Drosophila melanogaster: one gene and its partners. Changing the gene in region 1 together with any one later gene gives a genetic interaction. Each region holds a gene or a part of one and is shown in the gene's direction. Other genes may lie near its edges.

Evidence for each region. A genetic interaction does not mean that the proteins touch.
Region 2: of Atx-1 (region 1) and Nmnat, changing one suppresses a phenotype caused by changing the other (phenotypic suppression), as found in Drosophila melanogaster (one study listed by BioGRID).
Region 3: of Atx-1 (region 1) and sens, changing one suppresses a phenotype caused by changing the other (phenotypic suppression), as found in Drosophila melanogaster (one study listed by BioGRID).

What each region holds. Positions count from the first base shown.
Region 1 is NC_004354.4:6,819,709-6,825,574, forward strand, and holds Atx-1 (ataxin 1), read left to right. Parts: upstream 1-3,495; 5' UTR 3,496-3,546; coding exon 3,547-3,647; intron 3,648-3,704; coding exon 3,705-3,930; intron 3,931-3,983; coding exon 3,984-4,349; 3' UTR 4,350-4,495; downstream 4,496-5,866. Other genes in the region: Nf-YC (nuclear factor Y-box C), read right to left, coding at 1-816, 975-1,018; xit (xiantuan), read left to right, coding at 1,385-1,452, 1,508-2,422, 2,486-2,596, 2,664-3,105; nonC (no-on-and-no-off transient C), read left to right, coding at 4,930-5,278, 5,348-5,711, 5,782-5,866.
Region 2 is NT_033777.3:24,942,080-24,949,259, forward strand, and holds Nmnat (nicotinamide mononucleotide adenylyltransferase), read left to right. Parts: upstream 1-3,157; 5' UTR 3,158-3,178; coding exon 3,179-3,374; intron 3,375-3,446; coding exon 3,447-3,853; intron 3,854-3,904; coding exon 3,905-4,006; intron 4,007-4,064; coding exon 4,065-4,216; intron 4,217-4,396; coding exon of another isoform or gene 4,397-4,433; exon of another isoform or gene 4,434-4,754; intron 4,755-4,804; coding exon 4,805-5,075; intron 5,076-5,183; coding exon 5,184-5,225; 3' UTR 5,226-5,321; downstream 5,322-7,180. Other genes in the region: ssh (slingshot), read right to left, coding at 1-57, 124-318, 382-447, 740-1,131, 1,197-1,442, 1,511-1,570; mah (mahogany), read left to right, coding at 5,553-6,199, 6,275-6,384, 6,440-6,580, 6,639-6,845, 6,982-7,180. UniProt on the Drosophila melanogaster protein: Catalyzes the formation of NAD(+) from nicotinamide mononucleotide (NMN) and ATP. Essential for viability.
Region 3 is NT_037436.4:13,394,369-13,404,176, reverse strand, and holds sens (senseless), read left to right. Parts: upstream 1-3,051; 5' UTR 3,052-3,269; coding exon 3,270-3,429; intron 3,430-3,710; coding exon 3,711-4,792; intron 4,793-6,722; coding exon 6,723-6,873; intron 6,874-7,109; coding exon 7,110-7,342; 3' UTR 7,343-7,949; downstream 7,950-9,808.

The sequences.
Region 1 (5,866 bases):
GCTACAAAGTTGCCCGTGGCGGTAGCATTGCCCGCCACGGAGGCGGCCGCATTGGAGGTGGCTGTGTTGGAGGTGGAGGCGGCACTGCTGGCTGCGCCCGCCATTCCGCTCGAACTGGATGTACTGCCATCCTTGGTCTTTTGCGCCGACGACGGTTTGATCTCTTCGCGCGGCACAATGTCGATGAGGAAGTCGAACTGGTCGTAGTTGGCTATGGCCTGGGCAATGTCCGAACGCTGGAGCGTACGCCGCCGGCTCTCCTCGGTGTGCACCCAAGCGTGCATAGTCAGCTCCTGAATGAAGTACTCGCAGGCTTTGGCAAACAGTAGCGGCGCCTCGCCGGCAATCATCTTGGCGTTCTCGTCCAGCTTCATGATTTTCTTGATGCGCGCCAGCGGCAGCACCTGGTGCTTGGCATCCACCTGGCCGATGCTGTGCACCTCGCTCACGATATTTGGCCAGAAGTTGTCGATGGTGGGCGGCGGTTTGCGTGCCACCTGAGTTCGTGTGGCCTTCGTGGTCTTCTCCTTGGCGCCGCTCGCAACGGTGGTGGCCACCGTCACACTCATGCTGGGATTAACCAGCGTACAGGCGTTGGACACCAAACTGGCCATGGGAACCGTCTGCTGTTGCTGCTGGCCCTGCTGTTGCTGCTGCTGCTGGGCGGAGGAGACGGTGGAGGAGGAGGTGACCACCACTGCATTCGGTGTTCTTCGCTGCATAGCCGCTGAATTTTGCGATTTGGCATACGCCTGGCCCAGTTCCATCTTTATGGGCGTCACTGTGATGGTGTTGTCGAACATGGAGGTGGCATTGCTGTAGGGCATTCACATTAGTTTCATTCAAATTATTTGGCATGCACAAATCGCAGAATGAAAACAAAAAGGATCGGCGCACACACTAAAAATCTCGGCTGTACCGCCTGTTTTTTTGGGGGAGGGGCGCTAGATTTTGCTGGCGGAGGCGGAACTTACCTGTTTGGCGCCTTGTTCGTGCCGCCATTGTTGGTGGCGTACATGGCCCGGTTGGCTGGAGACCTTAGCTCGGCGTTGGCGGCAACCGTGGGACTCTGGCGACCGGCTCGAGTCCACAATATTCGCTTTAATTAGCTTCTAATTCGCAAAGCAAATGCGTAATGTAATGCACACACACACACATGCATACACGCGAGCGTCAGTGTGACCAGGCGGCGGTGAGGGCGAAAACTGGACAGCCCGATAACGATAGCTTTTAGTCGGGCTAACTGGCTACTTCCAAGCCACATTTAGCCGGCACAATCGACAATCGCATTCTGCCCGCTTTCAAGCCAGATCGGACAGCACTTACCGCTGATAAGGAATGCATCGAATCTAAACTACAATCCCAATCCCTGAGAGAAACGAAGATGAAGGACCTCTTCTGGCACCTGGTGGGCATAGCCACCGGCCTAAAGATCCTGCTGATTCCAGCCTAGTAAATGCAGTGCTCTGTCCACTTATCAAGCCCACTAAATCAACTTCATCCTTAGCCATTCCACGGATTTCGAAGTCCATCGCAACTGGCTGGCCATCACCCACAGTTTGCCGCTGAATCAGTGGTATGTGGACGCCACCAGCGAGTGGACACTGGACTATCCGCCGTTCTTCGCCTACTTCGAGTGGCTGCTCTCGCAGGTGGCCAAGTACGTGGATCCACGAATGCTGGTGGTGGATAACCTGAATTACGAGTCCAAGGCCACCGTTTACTTTCAGCGGCTCTCGGTGATTGTTACGGATCTAGTGTATGTGCTCGGCGTGCGCAGCTGCCTGGGCTCACTGGGATTGGGCAGGGATACGCAGCAGTTCTTTGCCGCCTCCATGTTGCTGCTCCTCAACGTGGGATTGATCTTCGTGGACCACATTCACTTTCAGTACAATGGCTTGCTGTTCGGCATACTGCTCCTGAGCATCGGTTCCCTCATCCGGCAGCGGTTCCTCTGGAGCGCCTTTGCCTTCGCCGTGCTGCTCAACTTTAAGCACATCTTTCTGTACATGGCGCCCGCTTTTGGGGTCTACCTGCTGCGTTTCTATTGCCTGGAGCAAGCGAGTGTGGTGTCTGCGGTGGGTGCCGTTGTCAAGCTGCTGGTCGTTGGACTTACTCCGTTCGCCGTGTCTTTCGGACCCTTCTGGCAGCAATTGCCGCAAGTCCTCTCCCGTCTGTTTCCTTTCAAGCGTGGCCTAACGCACGCCTACTGGGCACCCAACTTCTGGGCGCTGTACAATGCCGCCGACAAGTTGGCCGCCGGAGTTTTGAAGGTACAGGATGGCGGTGCCTCGACGACGTCAGGATTGGTCCAGGAGGTCAGGCACTCGGTGCTGCCAGCCATCACACCGCCTGTGACTTTTGCCCTGACCGCTCTCTTCATGCTGCCCATTTTGGTGAAGCTCTTTCGCAGTGCCAAGAAGTGAGGAAATCCTCGTTTGGATTCCAAGATATCGCAGCAAACTTATCCGCCATCTCTTTGCAGACAAAGTCCGCTGGTCTTCCTGCGAGCGGTGGTTTTGTGCGGCTGTTCCTCCTTCGTCTTCGGCTGGCATGTGCACGAGAAGGCCATCTTAATGGTGCTCCTTCCGCTCTGGTGAGTTCCCTTCCCCTCAGTTAATTCGAAATGAAGGAATCCTACTAACAGGCCCACCCTTTTTCAGTCTGCTCACGCTGGTAAACCGGGAGGATGCCAGATACGCCTATGTCCTTGGCATTGCCGGCTATTTCTCTCTCTTTCCGCTGCTCTTCGATGCGGATCTGTACATTCCCCGGTATTCCCTGTACATGTCGTACGTGGCCATGATGTACGGCCAGCTGTATCGCATCTTCCCCGGCTTCCGAGGCTTCCACACGCTGGAGTGGCTATACATGCTGGGCTTCATGGCTATTCCGCTGTACGAGCATCTGCTCTCTTTCCTGCTGCACCTGGACCAGCGCCTGCCCTTCTTGCCCCTACTGCTGACCTCCGTGTACTCGGCGTTGGGAGTGCTCTACTTCTTTGGGGCCTACTATCTGTACGCTCTGGGCATTAGCTGGGGCAAGGTGCCCATCGCATCGTCCACATCCGCGGCCGCTGTTAAGAGAAAACGAAAAACCAAATAAACGGAGCGCTATAAAGGGCTTCAGCAGAAATCCGCAATTGGTCACGTCTTGCATTCAGAGTGGTAGTGCTGGTGGTGCAGCCGAGCAGTCTTCAAGGCGCCTGGCGCAACAGCCAGTTCGGCGCCGCTGGACGGGATTCTCTGGTCCGATCGGCACAATGGACAACGAACAATGGCTGTTAAGCAGAATTCGGTGGGCAGGTAGCGGTCACCGGCGGCGTCTAAGGTGCCACGTACCTGTTGGCACGACCAGATTATGGCCTTTTGGGCCATAAAACAGGTACGAGGCGGAATAGTCGGCCGGCCGTCCGTCCGAGTGGGTGACATTCCTGGAAAAACCGTGGAAAACACGCTGGAGCTGAATGAATAAGTGTATATCAATTGCCAGCCTGGGCAGGGAATACTTCAGTTGACGAGCTTCCGTCCAGACGAACAGATCGACATGCAGATGCACATGGAACTCTCCTATGGCCGCGGCTACGATCCAATCGGGAGGCAACCACCGTCTCTTCCTCCTCCGTCGCAACAGCACTGGTCCAGCAAGTAAGCAAACGATTCGGCACTTTTTCCCATCCAGTTAATCAGTTGCCTCAATTTTAGTGGGTTCTCCGACGACTCCGCTTCCTGCTTCCGTCGGGGATCCTATATTGAACTGGCCAGCGGAGCCATGCGTCGCGTGGAGGACATACGCACCGAGGACTTCATCCAGTCGGCGCTGCGCAGTCAACTATTTGAGCTGCGAGAGGCGACAGTAGTGAGGATAGACTGGAGTGGATGCCCCAGCCTGGTGACACTCACCTTCAGCTACGACACACACCACGCCAAGGTGGGTTCGCCAATCTGTACCCATATTCGTCTCATCATTGACCAATGTTTCAGATGGACTTGCAGGTGCAGCCGGGTCATCCAATGTTTGTTTACGGACAGGGCTGGGCCTCCTGCGATCCACAGTTGTCGCTGCAGCTGTACGAGCTCAAATGCCAGCAGCTGCAGGTGGGCGACATATGTTTGTCGCTGGTGCCAAACGAGCAGCCCGCCGCACCATGTCCGCCTCAGCCGGCGCCGCCACCGCCGTGTCCGCCTCCTTCTCTGCCCCCGTCCATGGAAATGCCAGTGCCGATGGGTTCTCCGCCTACCGGAAGCTATGGATTTCTGCCGTTTAAGCATCCGTACGAGATGTACGCCCAAATGGCCAGTTTTGTGGCCGTGTACACCCAGCACATGATGGGAAAGCTAAACTATTAAGCCACAAATTTGGTGATTTAACTGGCGTTTCAGGAATATATTCAACGCTATTCCTTGAGTACGCCACGCATTTACAAATTTAATCTAGGTACAAAAATCACAATGTATTTTGCTTAATTTTCTGAAATAAAGTTTAAAGTAGCTGTAATTTCAATTTCAAGCCAAAATTGCGCGCGCCAAATATAACAGAGATGCCACTTTGGCCGATACCCACTGCATTCAACAGTTCCCCTTGACGCACGAAGTCCTCGTGTCACGATTCTCTGAAGTGTTAATCAAAGAATCCTGGACAATTTGGATGACATTGTCAGTCCTCCTGTCAAGCATTCTAATGGCAGAACACATTGCAGTCGTGGTGCAGTGAAAAATTACACAAGGAACATCGATTCGATGGCCCGTTGAGCGCCAGCGTCAGCTGTTTCTATCGATAACTGATTGGCACGATTGTTGCAGCAAGAAAAGAAAAGGAAAAGAACGAAATAATTAGTATAAACTAATCGAAGAATATCCACGCGAAACAGTGGTTAATGACGAACTTTGGAGGCATTCGATGTCTGCGCTAGCTCCGCCAATTCCCTCTATGAAGAACGCGATCCACCCAGAAAACTGCAATGGAGCTGGAACCGAGGAGGAGGCGTCCTCCGCGTTCCACGCGGAAATTGACCGCGTTCTGCTGAACAACAATGGCAATCACGGTGACAGCAGCAACGAAGGCGGCGGTGGTAATGGCAGCGGGAGGGGTGGCGCCACCGGAAGCGGCAATATCGCCGGCTTGGGAGGCAGTGAATCCATGTGGTCACCTGGTGGTGGTAAGTCGCACGACGTTGCGCAGGCGTTCGCCAACGCACTGCTGCTGCGCAACATGAACCATGTTGTGGGCAAAGGGCAGCCAGTGGTCCAAAATCACCGAAAGGCTTACCAATGCAAAGGTAGGTCGACAGTTTTGACAGTTTTGACAGCTGCGACACTCGTTTAAATTTGTATTTCCATCTTAACAGGCGATACGATCAACCCGATGGCCAATGGCGAAGATCTGCGTCTGTCCAAGATCATCCGCAGGCTAATCAACGAGAACAATCCCACCGTGTCTCTGGAGCTGTGCAGCAAACTGGATCAAGCAGTGCGCACGCCTATCAACATGGGCTACATGACATGCTCCTTCGTGTGGATTCTGGACAACATGCTCACCCTATACAAGCAATGCCCGCCGCCGGTTCTAGAGGAGTGCAGCAAGACTCTCGGCCTGATTGGCTTTATCAACCGCAAGTCGTATCCCATTTACGAGGAGTTTATCGTGAAGAACTACAAGAGTAGCAAGCGCATGCAGAAGTACATGATCATGGCCCTCCGCGCCACACTGAGGTGACACATTCCCTGCCCTCTCCATTAGCATTGTTCGTCTTTTTTATAACCCATCCCAATCCAAATGCAGCTGCGACACCAAGTGCGAGCTGCACATGTACGCCGACAAAATCATGCTGCTGCTGAAGGATTTTCTGGAGAATGCAGAGAGCGCC
Region 2 (7,180 bases), on another chromosome or scaffold:
ATGATGGCCTTCAGCTTCATCTTAATGACACTTTCGGTTTCCTCCTTTTCGGGGGGTCTGTTTATGGCATTCAAGGGAAAGAGGAATTAAAACCGTAAATAATTAGTTGTACCGAACCCTTACTTGTTTCGTATGGCATCAGGCGAAGGTGGTCGGCGGCTCTCGAGCGCGTCCATGGCATTCCACTCGTTCAGACAAGACTGGTCCGACTCGATGCGCCTCTCGTAGCTGGATAGCCAGTCGTGGGAGGGTCCACTGGCATAGAAGTTGTTCTCACGAGCCTTTTTCGACACTTTGTGCAGCGTCTGCAGCGCGGACCTGGAAAGAAACAAGGGTTTAATTTGTGACTGAAGGGGATCTGACTCCAAAGGAGGCACCTACCACATGGCCTGCACTGAGACCGGCTTAAATATATGCGTTTTTTCGTACACTTTGACGCTGAATCCGCTGAAAGCAAGATAAGATAAACCATTGAAATTAAGGAAATGCACATCACACGTTTATCAGAACAAATACACTCTGCCATGCTATTATTAAAATAGCTTAAGATAAATTGGAAACAAATGTGCGACATAAATGCCACCGCTCAACTAGGAAATTGGTCAAGGCGACACCGATTTGTGTATAGATTAGGGGCGGCTAATTTTTAAATTAATTCTATAAATAATTCCCAAGGTTAATAGCGACAATTAGGCAGTTATGAGTGCATGACTCTTACGAGATGAATGCCCAGTCTTACCCATCGCCATCCAGGTGAATTGTGGTGTCCGCCAGGATGGGCACCACCAGGCCAATGGTGGTCCGCTCGTTGCAGTCTATGCCCAGCAGGCAGGACTCCTCCATGCCCGAGGTATTCTTGTTGTCGCCGGCCGCCGTTGCGTTTTCCTTGTCTGCTGTTTTATCACATTTGCTGCTGGCCTCTGTGGCGGTCTGCTCAACGGACAGCTGACGCTGCGTGGGGACCGCCGGGGAGGTGGACGACTTTGTTCCCGCGGATCCACCAACTTTTACCGAGTGGTGACGCATGATCCGGTGGCGCCGACGGTCGCTGGTGCCGCTCCGACAACAACTACGCGATGCAATCACCAGATAGCGCGTGCGGTTGGACCGCTGTGACTCCAACTTGACAGCCTTTTGATAGGAATAGAAAGATATGTTTAAAAGATAGACAAAGTAATTTTACATTGGATACGCACCATCTTTAGCGTGTCCTCGCGCTGCAACAGGTAAAACATTGATTGCAGGTGGAGCTGGATGTCCGAGTTGTTGCTTTGCGTACTGTTACTGGAGCGGGTGGAGTCGGTGCTCAGGCGACGCTCGCTTTGCGTCAGGGGCGGGATATCCTTAAGAGCCAGTACCAGGGCGGTTCCCTTGCCGGCAAAGAAGCACTCGCTGCGATCGTTTCCTTTGCTATTGCCCTCGTCGTCCTCGGACTCGCCATCCTGATGTTATAGAGAAAGGAAAGTTGTTTACTCGGTGTTTAAGAATACCTTATCCTGCTGCACCTCACCCGTGGGGTTAGGCTAAATATAAGGATGTCGTCTGGCAAAGAACAAACTTGCATGCTCATTATTTTGCAAAGGGGTAAGATAAACTCCTGATTATAGTCTACACTTCAAGGGCGGAAAAGAAGCAAAGCTGTATCTGCAGTTCCAAGAAATCTGATTGTTCAACTGAATACCGTCTGATTTTGAGAAAAGGGTCACAAGTTCGAAAAAGATTCCGGTTTAGTGAAGTATTTTTTTTTTTTTTATATTTTCTGATTTCTTAGAAATAATAAAATGTTAATTTATGTGTTCAAAAATACCGATTTGACATATTGAGCATATCTGAATTAAAACGTTTTGTAAAATTAAATTGATCAACCCCCGATATTAATTTTTCCCTCTGTGCAGGCGGACGTCAAGGTCTCGCGAACTATTTTTGGGCGGTGGGGCGGCGAAGAAAACAAAAACAAGCGGTAAGCGGAAAGCGACAAAAACGACAAATAAGGCAATGCAAAAGTCTGTTGAAAAATATAGACGTCGCGACGTCTGCGGATTTGCTTGGGTTACACCAAAAGCAGCGCAGCGCAGCACAGCCGATGACGATGATGACGCTGCCTCATACCGCCCACACGCGAACGTTGAACGTCGAAATCCAAAAAGCGTAAGCAACAAGCTGGCGGATGATAAACATTGGGCATGAAAAGCACATCCGAGCACACAAAGGATCATGGCCAAAAGCGGAACACGCACTAAAGAGCCTGCCCGTAATTGGCTCTCCTGGCAGAGTGGGGGTGACCAAAACAAAGCACACACGCATACGCACACGCGAAAACCATCAAGTCTCCTCTCACCGAATTCGAGCAGGAGCCCGCCACACTGGGAGAGCGCTGCACCGTCACCAGCGCCATTTGTTGTTGCCGTGGTCGTGGACGTCGTCGTCGTCGCCGCAGCCGCTCCTCCACCTCCTGCTCCTCCTCCCCCGCCGACGCCTCTTGACCCTCGTGTTCCACCTGGCGCAGATGATGGCGATGCTGCAGCGGTGTCCCTTGCAATCCTCTCCTGCTTCGGCTCCTTCTGCTCCACCTCCTTTTCCCTGTGTGTGAGTGTGCGCGAGAGTGTGTGGTGTGTGTGCAAGTGTTGTGGGCTAAGGCTACAAATGCATTTTCATATCGCTGCCTGCTGGCCGTTGTTTTTGCAGTCGGCTCCGCGACCTCGTCCTGCGATCGTCTTGGTTTCCGCTTTCCGGACACTCTAGCCAGGCGGTTCTCTCTAAGAAACAGCGTGTCCTTACAATTAACGGACACACACAACGCTGCTAAATGGTAAATAGACTACACGAATTTTTCTTAAAAGAAAGACAGTGAGGACGCCATTTCTAATCGATAACACTAGTATCGTCAGGCAATCGTTCTGGCAGGGCTGGCTAACTATCGCAAGCGAAAGCAATGTTCGTGTGGTACACCGAAAAAAGTACTTATTAATGAGAAACGCAGTGATGTTTGTATACTTCTTGATATATCAGTAAAACAGGCTTTAATACATTTTTATGTACTCTTGCCTTTTTGATGATTAAAAATCAAAAAATTAAGTTACATTAAGTTATCATTTATCGAATAACAAGTCAAAGGTAGTCAGAGGTGGTAGCCACTGCACAGCTGTTTAGTGTTGGAAAATAACAACAAGCCGAACAGATGATTGTGAAAATCAGCTGGCCCAAGAACAACATAACAAGCGAATGCTTCCGGCGGTTTGGATCTTTTAAAAGACGCTCAAAATCGAAGAAAATGTCAGCATTCATCGAGGAAACAAAAAGCCTGCTGCCGCGGATCGCCTTCATAGCCTGCGGATGCTTCAGTCCACCCACACCCATGCACCTTCGGATGTTCGGTGAGTTAAACTAGATTGTGAAATTCTGCGGTACATAATCGATAAAATTACGCGGCATGTTTTTGTCAACAGAGATAGCCAAGGACCACTTCGAAATGCAGGGAACCCACAGAGTGGTAGGTGGCATCATCTCGCCCACGCACGACTCATATGGCAAAAAGGGTCTGGCCTCCGCCTTGGACAGATGTGCCATGGTCAAGCTGGCCACCCAGAGCTCCAATTGGATTCGGTTGTCCGATTGGGAGGTGCACCAGAATCAGTGGATGCGCACGCAGGCGGTGCTCCAGCACCACCAGAACTATATCAATAACCACATAAATTCCGGCGGGGGAGGCGGAGATGACGGGGAGAACACACATCTACCCGGATGGCTGCCTCGTGGGTTGCACGACAGTCGGGATCCTGTACATCTGAAGCTACTGTGCGGTGCCGATCTGCTGGAGTCCTTTGCTGTTCCAGGCCTATGGGCAGAGGCCGATGTAAGTCTTGATATATTTGAATAGTACCTTTTTTTATATGATTGTTCCCAGATTGAGGACATTGTGGCTAACCATGGTTTGGTAGTTATCACCCGGGCCGGCTCAAACCCAGGAAAATTCATCTTTGACTCCGACATATTGACCAAGTATCAGGTTAGAGAGACAGTACCTCGACAACATTATTTCTTATTCATTTCCATTCACATTTCAGAGCAACATTACGCTAATCACCAACTGGGTGCCTAATGAGGTGAGCTCCACGTTGATTCGGCGGCTCTTAGGACGCGGCCAGTCGGTCAAGTACCTTCTAGACGATCTGGTGCTGGAGTACATCAAGCGCCAACGATTGTTTAACTTTAAATCGTAGGTGGTCTTCCTGTTACCTCCCCTTAATCCTGCATGTTCACTTACAATTACCCATCTTTCAAACGATACGTACACTGAATGAGGCGCCACCTTAATCCATTTCACACAGCAGAGAACACACTTAACGTGCACCACCAGCAGTCTTTGTATTGTTTCCTTTTATGTCTTAAACTGCAGGCGGGATGCACCGGCTCCGACCGAATGCGACTCTTGACGCGCTTTGCACGTGAAAAAGAAGCCCTCGTCGCCCACACGCTTTCCAACCCACCAGCACCGCAAATCGCACCACTTGCCCCACCAGCACCATAAGCTGTTTGAGCCGTGGCGCCTCTTCATGGAGCGTGAGTGAGCAGAGCAGATCCGAGTTCAAGTTCCTATTTAGCAGTGATTCCTTTAATGCATGTTTATTTTTGCCCAATCTTAGCCCTTGTAAATACCCTTGTTAAATTAGCCATAGTTTTGCGGTGGTCAGTGTGCGTATCATCTACTTACACCGAATTGTTGCCAAAATGTAGTCCCATTAAACAATAACCTTAACTTTGTTGCTATTGTACTGACCATGCCCGCCTAACCCATGGAATGTAGTAAGTATATAACGGATGCGGTGCGTCCCAACCATTTGCTCTTTAACCACGCCTATACGGACAACAACAAGAACGCGAACAGCTACTCTATAGGCGACCAGCTGGAGCAGGACATGGACGAGTCGGACACTCCAAGCCCGCAACTGCAGCATACGCCTACGTCGCGGGTTTTCTGCTGCGGGGAGGTGCCTTTACGTGGATCCAAGGTGCTGCGATCCGGTCCTGGACAAGCGGTGCAGGTCATCACCATGCAGGCAGATGAGAAAGAGGAGGTGGGTATCCTTAACCGCTGTATCCATTGCATTTCATACATAGATGGAATCCAGAGTTTTGCTTTCAAACTTATGTTTAGATCCTTCTAATCAATTCCCCTCTTTCAGAGCCAAGCAAAGAAGCAGAAGATTTCCCAAGTGCAACTTTAGGAAACTGGAAGACGAATCTCACGCGGATTAAGACAGGGGCGCTGGAAGCTATTTGTTGATATTATATAAATATGCAAAATAAACACGTTCGTTACCAAGTTGACGGCTGCCCATGCTTTTGTGGGTCACTTCACGGAGTGGAGGGACAAGGCATTGAACTTCAGGCGACGTGCATTGACATTGCAGTCGTTGCAGGGCTTCGCTTTGGTGTCTGATGTCAGAACTTGTTGATGGTAATATGCCAGTTGCAGGCGAGAGTGGCCACCATTAGTTTAAGCTTAGAGGGACTGCAGTTGCTTGCTTCCCTTGGAAGAGTCCACATCGCGAATGTTCTTCTTCCGTCGCCAGAATGCTAAACCCGCGCCACGCCCTTCGCGCGCTCCGTCCTTTGCGCTTCCAAAGCGTCGGCCTCCTGTCCAGCTAACGCCCTCGCATCAGCACGACCAGTTGCCCTTCCTGCGAAGATCGCGGTTCAGCGCCCTTCCCCATTTCCGCGCCTACGAGGACGAACCGGAGAACCTTTCGCTTTTCATCGCCATCCTGTACGTGGTGGATTTGTTTGGCATCTTCCCATTTGTCACGCTGCCGGCATTGCTGGTGAAACTTGGATACTTTGGCATCCTGTTGGTGCTTTCTATCATCATCCTGCAGATCTATACCTCCTTCCTGCTCTCCCAATGCTGGACCATGGCGGAACTGCTTGATCCTTCAATTCAACAGAAGCGCAACTATCCGTATGCCGCACTAGCAGAGCTGGCTTACGGTCCCTATATGAGTCTGCTGGTGTCCGTGCTGCTCGATCTAAGCATTTTCGCCATGGCGGTGCCCAGCGTGGTCATGGCTGCCCAGAATCTAGAGGGCGTCGTGCTGCGCATGAGCGCTGGTCAGTACAATTTCTCTTACTGCTACTGGGCCATCATAGTCGGCCTGGTCATCTGCCCGCTCATGTGGCTGGGAAGTCCAAAGCACATGCGGTAAGATAAATTTCAGGATAGGATTATTTGCTTTCTATCAATGCACTGCATTATCCTATTTTATAATTATCCCAGGGGCTTGGCTATCATCGCAGTTTGCGTGATGATCGTTATTGTGGCGCTGTTGTGGTTCTGCCTTTTTGCAGCTCCTGCAATTGGAACACCCTTTGAGGGAATCTCTTTGGGTGGGTATTGGTCTTAGGGCATATGCTTAAAATATTCTAAATTGGTTTTTCTTAGAGCTGCCCGGTTTCCTTACCGTGCTCAACAGCTACAGCATATTGGCCTTCCAGTTTGACATCCACCCCGTCCTGCTGACCCTTCAGATCGACATGAAGCAAAAGTCGCAGGTTTCCTGGGCTGCGCTCATCGGAATCGCCAGTGAGTTGCTCCTCCAATCCGATTACAGATGGATATTAATTTCATTCCTCTCGATTAGTCACTTGCAGCGTGGCCATCTTTGGCTCCATCATAGCCGCCTATAAGTTTGGATCGATGATAGCTGATAACTTGCTGCAGTCTTTGCCCACCAGTGTGCCCTTCTATGTGATGCTCATCCTAATGGCGCTCCAGCTTTGCTTCTCCGTCACGGTGGCTAGCTCCGCGATGTTCATGCAGATCGAGAACTACTTCAAACTACCGGAATGTGAGCCTCATTTTAACTTAAGTTAATGATCTAGGAATTTCATTCCACTAAGAAAGACTTTTAATGAGTTCCGTCATAAGATTTTTCAATACATTAATCTAAGTCAACGTCATCAGCTAATCCTTCCTTTTTATAGCCCTCTCCTTCAAACGCATGCTAATCCGCTCTTCAGTGCTGGCCTTGGAGGTCCTAGTGGCGGAGTTTGTGCCCAGTTTTGATGCCCTGATGGACGTGGTGGGTGGCACCATCACCGGACCCCTGGTGTTCATTCTCCCGCCACTTTTGTACCGCCGCATCCGGCGAATGGAGCGAGTTCATCAGCGAATCGCAGCGGA
Region 3 (9,808 bases), on another chromosome or scaffold:
AAGTATAGCCTTTTATGTATTTTGTATGTTAATATTATTGCCAATAAACTATTAGAATGTTGTATAGGACGGAAATGCGTTGTAGCACTACAAATTAAATACCTGTTTAAAAAAAGATGAACTTATAAACCTTTCTGATTGAAATCACTATTTTGATAGATTTATGGATTGAAGTTATTATAGATTAACATGATAAAAACAATGATTTTAATCAATTTCGTTGTTTTAATCAGTCTAACGTTAACTAAAAATCTGTTAATCGTATGAGCACGGTAATCGTAGATTAGTTGTTATGGCCATTCACCAAGTCAACGTGACCATTCATCATGGGGGTTTTCATTGGGCCAATCCAACATCTATCTAACGGTCCAAACGGCCCACACACCTCCGATGTTCGCCAGAAGCAGAAACTCACCTCGCCACGAGCTGGCTCACATACACAGGCGCAAACCCGTTCCGTGTAGGTGTTACCCGCCCTCTCGGCGTTCTGCTGGCCAATCAGCGAGCGGCTGGCCGAGAGCCACGAGCCAAGTGCAAAGGCATTTTCGAATTTCCGAGCGGCAGAGTGTGGGATTTGCTCAAACGCAGGGGCACGCTGAGGGTGTCGTAAATAAAATGTCGCCGACATGAAAAAACAGAGAATGGAAATTATATACGACTCTCGAACTTGTGATGCATTGCAATGCACTACAAAAAATAATGATTGATAATTCAAAATGCATTCAAGACTTTTGGTATCAATCGTGATAATATTTATTACAAAATTCTAGTTTTGAAGCTTATTAAACACGTACTTTCAATTTTAGAATTTTGCTTTTACATTTGTCTGTCTTAAATAGAATTATCCTATTTCGAAGTAATGGATATTAAAACTAAATAGCACCAACTTATTTACATGTTTGTTGCGGTAATCTATAATAGATTTCGGTTTAAAGTAAAAGCCTTTTCAATAAATTTCTCAGTGCTGCATTCCTAGCTGCATTAAGCGGATTCTATATGCAGGAATATTGTAATTTTCAAAACAGTATTTCTCTCAGTGTACCGCATATCAAACGATGATAGATGTGTGAGCGGCATACGGTGAATCCGTTACAAAGCGGCAGGGGATGAGCACGCGCCCTCAGTTCTCCAGATAAACAATATGTATGGGAACGCCGCCAAGCGCAACGATGCCACCAACTTGACTTGGCCAGCCCTCATCGCGGTCGAAATGGTAGAAGCCAGAGTTCCCCCATTTTGGCCCGCTTTTAGGCCGCGTGCCTCGTACCGCTTCGCTAGATCGGCGGCACCCGTGGCGGACACGAGTGCGATGGAATTTCGGTGTCGCCTCAACTCTGCACATGTCCTGCCATGGAAATTGCGCCAAAAACTAGGGGATGGGAACTAAAATTGCTGACAAGGAAAAGGATCGTTAAATGTGGAAGTGTAAGTGTGCGCCCGCCACATTTTCTTGGCTCGTTTTCTAGGCAGGTGTGGCCCGCGCCAAGGATAGATAAACTGGAATTGAGGCGGCCAAGACGAGGTGGCCAAGCGTGGCGAGCTACCAACTCAGGAGGAGGACCCCGAACTCTCATCAAGGATAAGCTCGGAAAAAGGTGCATCGAGCGGTAGAGGGAGAAAGTGGCAGGTGCTCAGTCGTCCTATCTGAGTGGTTTAATAGCTACGATCCAACGAGAAGATGGGGACTTTATGGCTTAGAGTTTGGTATTGGTTTTAAATTGACTGACAAAAGAATTCAGTCTTTTAATTTTATTGAAATGCTTTAGGAAAATACGACGAACTGCAAAGTTTGCATTGAGAAATTTAACAAAAACTTTGTTGAAAGTTAATGTTCTGAAACCAAACCAAACTATTTGTTAAAACGGTTTTAAATGGGAAATCTGATATTTTGATAGCTATTAAATAAAATCTGTCCTAATCTTATGTATTTAAATGTAACATTATTATAATCAAATATGTCATTTTGGTAAGGTAGATTTTATATAGAAATATAACAAAAAAAATTCTACAATAATTTAAATAAAGTTTATATATTTGTGCATTGGTTGTGAAGTAGGTTTACGTCAATCCTCTAAAATGTAATAACACTTTTTATGGATGAAGTCTAAAGCTTAAAGATTAAATTCACGATGTTGCTTTAAACTATTTACCCTTATTGGGAGAAGCGCAAATAAAAATGAATTTAAACTTAATTTCTCCTATATTTTACTCGCAATGTATTTTTAATAATTAATACAAAAATTAATTTTCATCACATTCAAAATTAGGAACCCATTTGTAATCCTTGTCAAATCTAAAGGTAATCTAAACAGTATCTACAAACATGGAGAGTTGCCACGACAGATGTTAGATCCTTGGATTCATCCACCTAAATATTTGTATGCTACCCCGCCCCATCCCGCCCTCGTCCTCTCCCCCCTTCCACCGATCAGCAGTGAAATCCTCTGCCGATTGCTGGCCCTCTCTCGCTTCTTCTCCCTTGGCCAAAGTACCGATCCCGATATTCCTGAGCCAACAACAGTTGGTGGCAGCAACAGAAAGAGCAAAGGCAATTGTAACTGTTACAGGGCAGCGGGAAAAGGATAACAAACGCCCGCCAAACTTTAAGTGCATACCAATTAGTAGGGAAACGCGTGCTGGAAAACCAGTAGTAGATGGGCCAAGAGGATACGAACGCAGGGGGTTGGGGTATCGAGATCGCCAGGGGACTCCTAACTGTGCGTCTTGACCCATACAACATGGAACACAGGACTGCAACTGCCGCCAACTGCTGCCAAAGGTGAAAAACCAGAGTTGGCAACACGAACACCAACACCAACAATACATTGCAGGGCTCTCGAGAGCCACCACCAAAAGAGTCAACACCAATACACCGAGGGCTCGTTTTGATTCGGCTTGCTGCCGCACTCACACAGTGCCACAAGTAACCACAGTCGCACACAAAAATAAAAAAAAGAGAGCTCGATTTGTACCTTTTTTTCGGGCCAAGTCGCTTCACCGTTGGCTCAATTTAGAACTGAGCCATCGACCAAAGATTCAGTCAGGTGCGAAGCACCGAGCGATACGGACGTGTTCGTCTCCAGTGAGTCAAGATAAAACCGCACTGAATAAGACCCATCGAAGATCCGTTCGAATCCAAGATCACAACGCCAAGAAAGTGAGATTTGTGCAGTGAACAGTATTGAGAAAAATCACAATCCAAAGACTGTTAAAGCAAATACGTAAATCAGATCCAGTGAGATTCCAAAAAGTAAAGATCCAGAATCAAAATGAATCACCTATCGCCGCCGCCATCGCCGCACTCCCAGCAGCCGAGTCCCGCGGGATTGGGCTGCCATGGAGCAGCTCTGGACAAGCAGTGGATGCAGCGGGCATCCGCCTTCAACACTGTGATAGCCTCCGCCGCAGCACAGAAACTCAATGGTCGAGGTGAGTTCCCGATCTGGATTGACAGAAAAATATATGGGGCAGTAAAGATAGCAAAAAGATTAGCTTATAGCTTTTTAATCGTTTCGAATTGTATTTAAAAGATCACTCGATTTAAAATCAAAATGTTAACACTTTCAACAGATCAGAAAAATTATGTTAACTTTACTGTAGTTCTTACCAATACAAGAGTAACTTTATATTGATAGGCATCCTGAGGATACTTTTCCTTCCTAATCTTAATCACTACTATTCAACTGATTCGTTAAATTTGCATTTCATAGATCTGCCCTTTTTGTACAACCCGCTGCTCTACTCGAGTGCCCTACTGTGGCCCCAATTTTTGTTGTCCTCGGCCACGGCTCTGGGTACACCACTGACCCCCATGACCCCCAAATCGCCCGCCTCTGTGGTTTTGGGTCAGCGGGATCGTGACTTTGCCTTGACGCCCGAAAAGGAGCATGAACTCCAAATGAACAATAACAATGAGAACAGCAAGCAGGACTATCAGGAGCAGGATGAGGATATGCCACTAAATCTAAGCACCAAGGAGCGCATCACATCGGATGATTCCAACCGAGATCAGTATCACAGCAGCAGCAACAACAGCAGCAGGAGCAGTTCCAGCAGTGAAGTGGAGCAACTGCATCCGATGACCTCGCTGAACGTTACCCCGCCTCCCCTGAGCGCTGTGAATCTAAAGAGTTCGAGTACACCACAGCAACAGCGCCAGAGATCGCAGGGTAACATCATCTGGTCACCGGCCTCGATGTGCGAGAGATCGGCGAGAAGGGAGCAGTACGGCCTGAAGATGGAGGAGCAGGGCGATGAGGAGGAGCACCAGGTGGATCCTATTGTGCGAAAGTTCAAGTATGAGCGCAGAACTGCATCCATATCCTCGCTGCAATCGCCGATCTCCTCGCTGTCCGCTCCCGCCTCGAATGCCGTCCAGGATCTGGAGTTCGAGGTGGCCCAACAGCAGTTGTATGCCCATCGCAGCGCATTCATGGCCGGATTGACGGGCAACAATCTGGAGCTGCTCACCCAGCACTTGAAGCTGAAGAGCGAGCAGCCGCAGCAGCAGCAGCAACAGCATCGCATCAAGGACGAGCAGCAGCAGGATAACCGCTCGGCAGCGGCACTCATGAATTTGGTGGCAGCCGCCGAATTCGGCTACATGCGTAATCAACACCAACAGCCGCAGCAGCAGCAGCAACAACAGTTGCATCACCAGCAGCAGCCGCAGCAACATCAGCATCAGCAGCAACATCCTGACTCGACGGCCACAGATGTTGCGCGTCGTTCGTCCTCCTCGTCATCTTACCAAGGAGAAAACGAAGAGAAGCGCAGCGGCAGGAATTTCCAGGTAAGCAAACTCAAACAGGATAAACGCGTCGAGGGGTAGGGAAATATGAAGAGGAAATCGAGGGCAAATCGCTTGAAAATCTCTGAGCCCCCAGCCCGCTTTAATGGGCTTATCACGTGTCCTGAAGGACCATGATCTATAACCCAAAACGAATACTGTTCGTATCATTGCATAAGGTTGCGTGTCCTCGACAATTCCCCTGTGTTAATTGTTTCATATTTTGTCCGTGCGGGTTTTAATTGTCGCCGAGCCGAAAACCCCACCAATACCACTTTCAATTTGGAAAAGTGGCACAGCAAATACTGTCATAAAGTTGGTAATACAAGCCAAACCGATAGAGCTCTATGGAAATTCAATTAAGTCCCATCGAAATCACGCAATTAGTTAATCAAATAATTTTGATTAGCGCCAGTGCGGTGGGGGGCATAACTCGCCCTCGAAGATTTATGTACAAATTACAATCATAATAATTCGATATTGGATTGTGCAAAAGGTAAGAGGGCACACGACCCTCAGGAATTTGAGACGACTTACCCTAATAGGCCTTATGCCTACCCCGATGTCATATTGCGTTTATATCCATCAACACCCGCCGCGAGTCCTTATTTTTTTTTTTTTTAACATCTTTTTCCAGTTTTTTTTTCACACATTAAAGGGTCAGAGTGAAATGCGATAGGTTTTCGGGCTTCAGTACCGGACCGACATATGGTCAAAAAGCCGACGAAGACAGTTGCCAGAGTCCTTTGCGCAGGCGCAGTCACTGTTCTTCAGCTGTTTATGTATAAAATCGAATTTTTTCTGTAATTCGTGCTTTACATCTGTTCACCATTGGAGGCCCACCCGGCTGACTCAGACTTTGGGGTTTCTCCTTAACTCTTTTTTTGTTTCCCTGCTCGTTTTTTCTTTTTTTTTTTGCCTTTCGAGCTTTGCCAACTTCCGTTCCGTTGTCAGAGCTAAGCAAATTGACATTATGGCTCAGGCAGTTGAGCGCAGCTTAACAATAGAGCAACTAATTGGGTCTGAGTCTAGCCAATGTGTGTAGTGGATATGGTCCACGCGAATGCAATGCGCAAATAGAAAATCCCAAAAACAAGGCTAAAAAAAAACGTAAAAAATAAAAAAATAAGAGAACATAAAAATCAATAAGAAAGAAATTTTAAAAAACCGACACTTGTGTCAATTTACAATTACGCGTAGACCATGCGGGTTTTTCAAAAAAAAAATTGTCTCACATTTTTTTCACCCATTTCTGTGTTTTACTTTTCGTTGTTTTCATGTTTTCGTGTTTAATATAAATGTCGCCCACGTAGGCCGACGATTTGAGTTGTGTTATGTCAATGTTTGGTTACTTGCAACGTTGCTGCAACTGGCAAACTGTTCAAACATTTAATCTGACAACCGAAGATGTTACAGCCACTGGATTCGTCCAATCCCCGCGATCGATTCCCCGTGGATCCCAGCTGTGTTTGGCCCACAAATACTGCGGTATATACAATGTATGTACATATATGCATGGCTAAAGCTCCCTGGAAAGTGTCTCACTTGAGATTTAGCATTGGGCCGAGATATTTACCTAGCTGGTTTCAGCGCTGAGAAATGGCTAAGGTTCTAGATTATTTGTCGCCTGGATGTGGGCTAACCAAGTTTGGCTTGGTTTGGGTTTTCCCTTGTCGTCACTTGTCTAACAAATATTTGAGCACTCACAAATCTAGTTTAATTCATGTTGCCACTGCGAATTTGGCTCAGGCACACAAAAACGGTGAATTTATATATAAATTCTTTTCTGATTTTTTGATTATTTGGCTTTTTGGTGTGAATATGCTCAAGCTGTGCAAATATGGGGTATTCTGAGTTCCAATAATCATGACTCGTTCTGTCTGAATGTGGTGTTAATAATGTATTTTTCTATTGTCTATGTCTTTCTTTTTAGTGCAAACAGTGTGGCAAGAGCTTCAAGCGTTCGTCCACCCTGTCCACACATCTGCTCATCCACAGCGATACACGGCCATATCCCTGCCAATATTGTGGCAAGCGGTTCCACCAAAAGTCGGACATGAAAAAGCACACGTACATACATACCGGTAAGTTGAATATTCGGTGAAATCAAAGCTAGTCCATGGGGAGAGTATCCAACTATTCCTCGGCAAATGTGTCAGAACGTGGTGCAAACAGAGCCACCCTTGAGCACACACACAGATCCCTATCGCCTTTCAATTTGTCTAATTGCTGTAAAGCTGCCGCCGCCTCTCGGCCACAATTAATAAACTTTGAAGCGGCATTTAACTAATTGTGTTTATTGATTTTCCTGCGATTCCAGGCGAGAAGCCACACAAGTGCACCGTGTGCCTGAAGGCCTTCAGCCAGAGCTCCAACCTGATCACGCATATGAGGAAGCACACGGGGTATAAACCCTTCGGTTGCCACCTTTGCGATCAGTCCTTCCAGCGCAAGGTGGATCTGCGACGTCATCGAGAGAGCCGCCATGAGGAGGCTCCGCCAGTGGAGGACCTGAAGCCCCTGAAGATGGAGGTGAGCAGCAGCAGCTGCTGACCGAGGCTAGGCGGCAATCTCTGATCCAGGAGATCCCAGTATTAGCTAAGCAGGACGAGACACACACTCAAAACCAGATGATGATGATGATGATGATGATGATGAAGGTGGAGCAGATCACAGTTGGCCCTAAGTCTAAGTCGTTGCTATGAAGCCAAAGTTTGTTTTGTTTAGGCCTTCGCAAAGATTTACCTAATCGTAAGAATTATTGTTAAAACATATTAGCTAAGATACTGCCTTAAGTCTGTACATAGTTATCCCAAACAAGACTCTTTTTTATAGCCGTTAAACCCTAGCTTAATGATTAATCTAATTTATTGCATAAAGCGTTTTTGATTTGATTCAAACTTAACCCAAAATTGGCAGCTAAACGTACCAAAGAACAACCTCAAACAAATGAACTACCACTTGGCGACCACTTGTCTAAATTTAGTTTCCTAATTTATTTAAGTTTATTGATGGCATCACCCACATTTATTTATACGATCTATGCGAATTTTTAGTTTATTCTTATTTTGTAATAAGCCCAATGACTTATTGTAATTATATTTATTAGGAGCGTATATGATTTTTGGAAAATAAAGTTGAAAGCTAAAAGAGAACAAACAAAATATATGGGTTTTTTTAAGGATAAAATATCTAGAATGATTGATTGATTCCTTTATACAAAATCCTCAGGCATATCAGAAAATACACATGATATGATTAATACATATGTATATATTTTTGGTATGTATTATTAATTCAAAAAGTTTTTACATCGGGTGGGTTAAATATCTCATTATTACGATCAACCCCTTGAGCAGCTGAGAAATTCCTTAGTATCAAGGACACAGCCTCCTCCTTTGAAGTACCACATTTTGATACAAATTGTCCAAAGCGCTCCAAATATTTTTTCGGGGGCCTGTTCGTAAACCTGATTTTATAGATGAATTTCTGCACGTACTCAATTGATGGGGAATAAGTTGCTCCTGTTTCGGGTGACGCGGTGATCTTTGATCTGTGCCCAATGTGGCATTTGGGGAATGCCCTTTGTAAGTCGCCGCGTTACAGCAGGTACACATCCCCCTCGGCCCACTTGCATGCCCGATCCTTGGGGAAAACGCCAATAAGTGTTCGAAGTTCGAACTAATTGCTGACGAAATAAAGTGAGAAATGGGGCTGGCGGGGATCGAGAAGGGGGGGGGGGGCATGGAGCAATGGTCATTGAGGACTGCTGATCGCAATTTTCGGTAATCGAAATGTCCGAATGCATTTTGCGGCACTTTAAAACGCCCGAAATGAAGTTTGGCAGTTTACAAATCACCGACTTCCCTCATTATCGCCATTCATCGGCAGTCGCAATCAGAAATCGACCAAATCAGCGAGCCCCATCCGCAGGATTTTATTTGGGGCCACTTTCTGCAGCCAAACTCGATCGTCGGGTTGTTCTTGGTCTTCTTTGACTTTGGCACGCCACAAATTGATCGAAATTGACAAAATATTGAAAAAAAAGAAAACCGGGCAGGGGAGAGAGAAATATGCAGTTCAATTGTTGCCGAAGAAAAATGCAGTTCAAGGACTTTACGCCAAGTGCCGACAAAGTGGGGATCAAAAGTCAAAGAATGTAGATGCTGATCATTATACTATTGAGTTGGCATTTGGCCAGGTGGATTGCGAAACTCAAGGTCGGACGTTTTATCAAATTTAGTACTTTGAAAGTGACTCGCAAGTTCTGTGCAAATATGACTTTCATTGAAGATATTGATATTGAAGTGAAAAGTCAATAAAAGAGAAGGTAAATCCGTAAAATCAGAAGCATAAGTGCATAGATTTTTAATCACGAATATTAATACTTTGCTTAATGAACTGTGCATATACTTTATATATACCTCAAATCGCTGAAAGTACAAGAAGCAGCTTAGCATTAGTTTGCACTCCATAATGCAAACTCGATAAGATACAGATACAGATACACATAGGTCGCAGCCATATGCTGGAGTTTCTCCGCAGCGCTGACTCTCGGTTTATTAACCCCTTTTCCGCATAACACCTGAGCCCACATAATTTGTCATGCCGTTTGGAATTTATTCAACAGTCGGGCAAGCCCCCATGGAAACAAAGGAGAGAGCTATGGAAAATGTGTGGCTATCAAAAGACTGAAAAGCTGCAACCCCAAAACGCAGACAATGCTGAATGGGCAAACCGTGATCGCGCGGGGGGAAATTGTGAAGAGGAAATTGATCTTAGAAGTGGTCTAAAGAAGTTGTAGGACCCGCAACAAATTCGTGTCCTTTCCTTTCCATCCCCGTCCCCACGTACCATCCTCTGAATCGGTTCCGTTTTCCGGCTACCCCTAGTTCTTTGGCCCTTTTGGTGCCGGGCAGGTGACTTTTGACTTTGGCTATTAATAAAAATAATAGTTGCGGCTAAAAAAGGAAAAAAAAAAATAAGAAAAAAGGTGAGGAGCCCGGCCAAGAGCAAGGG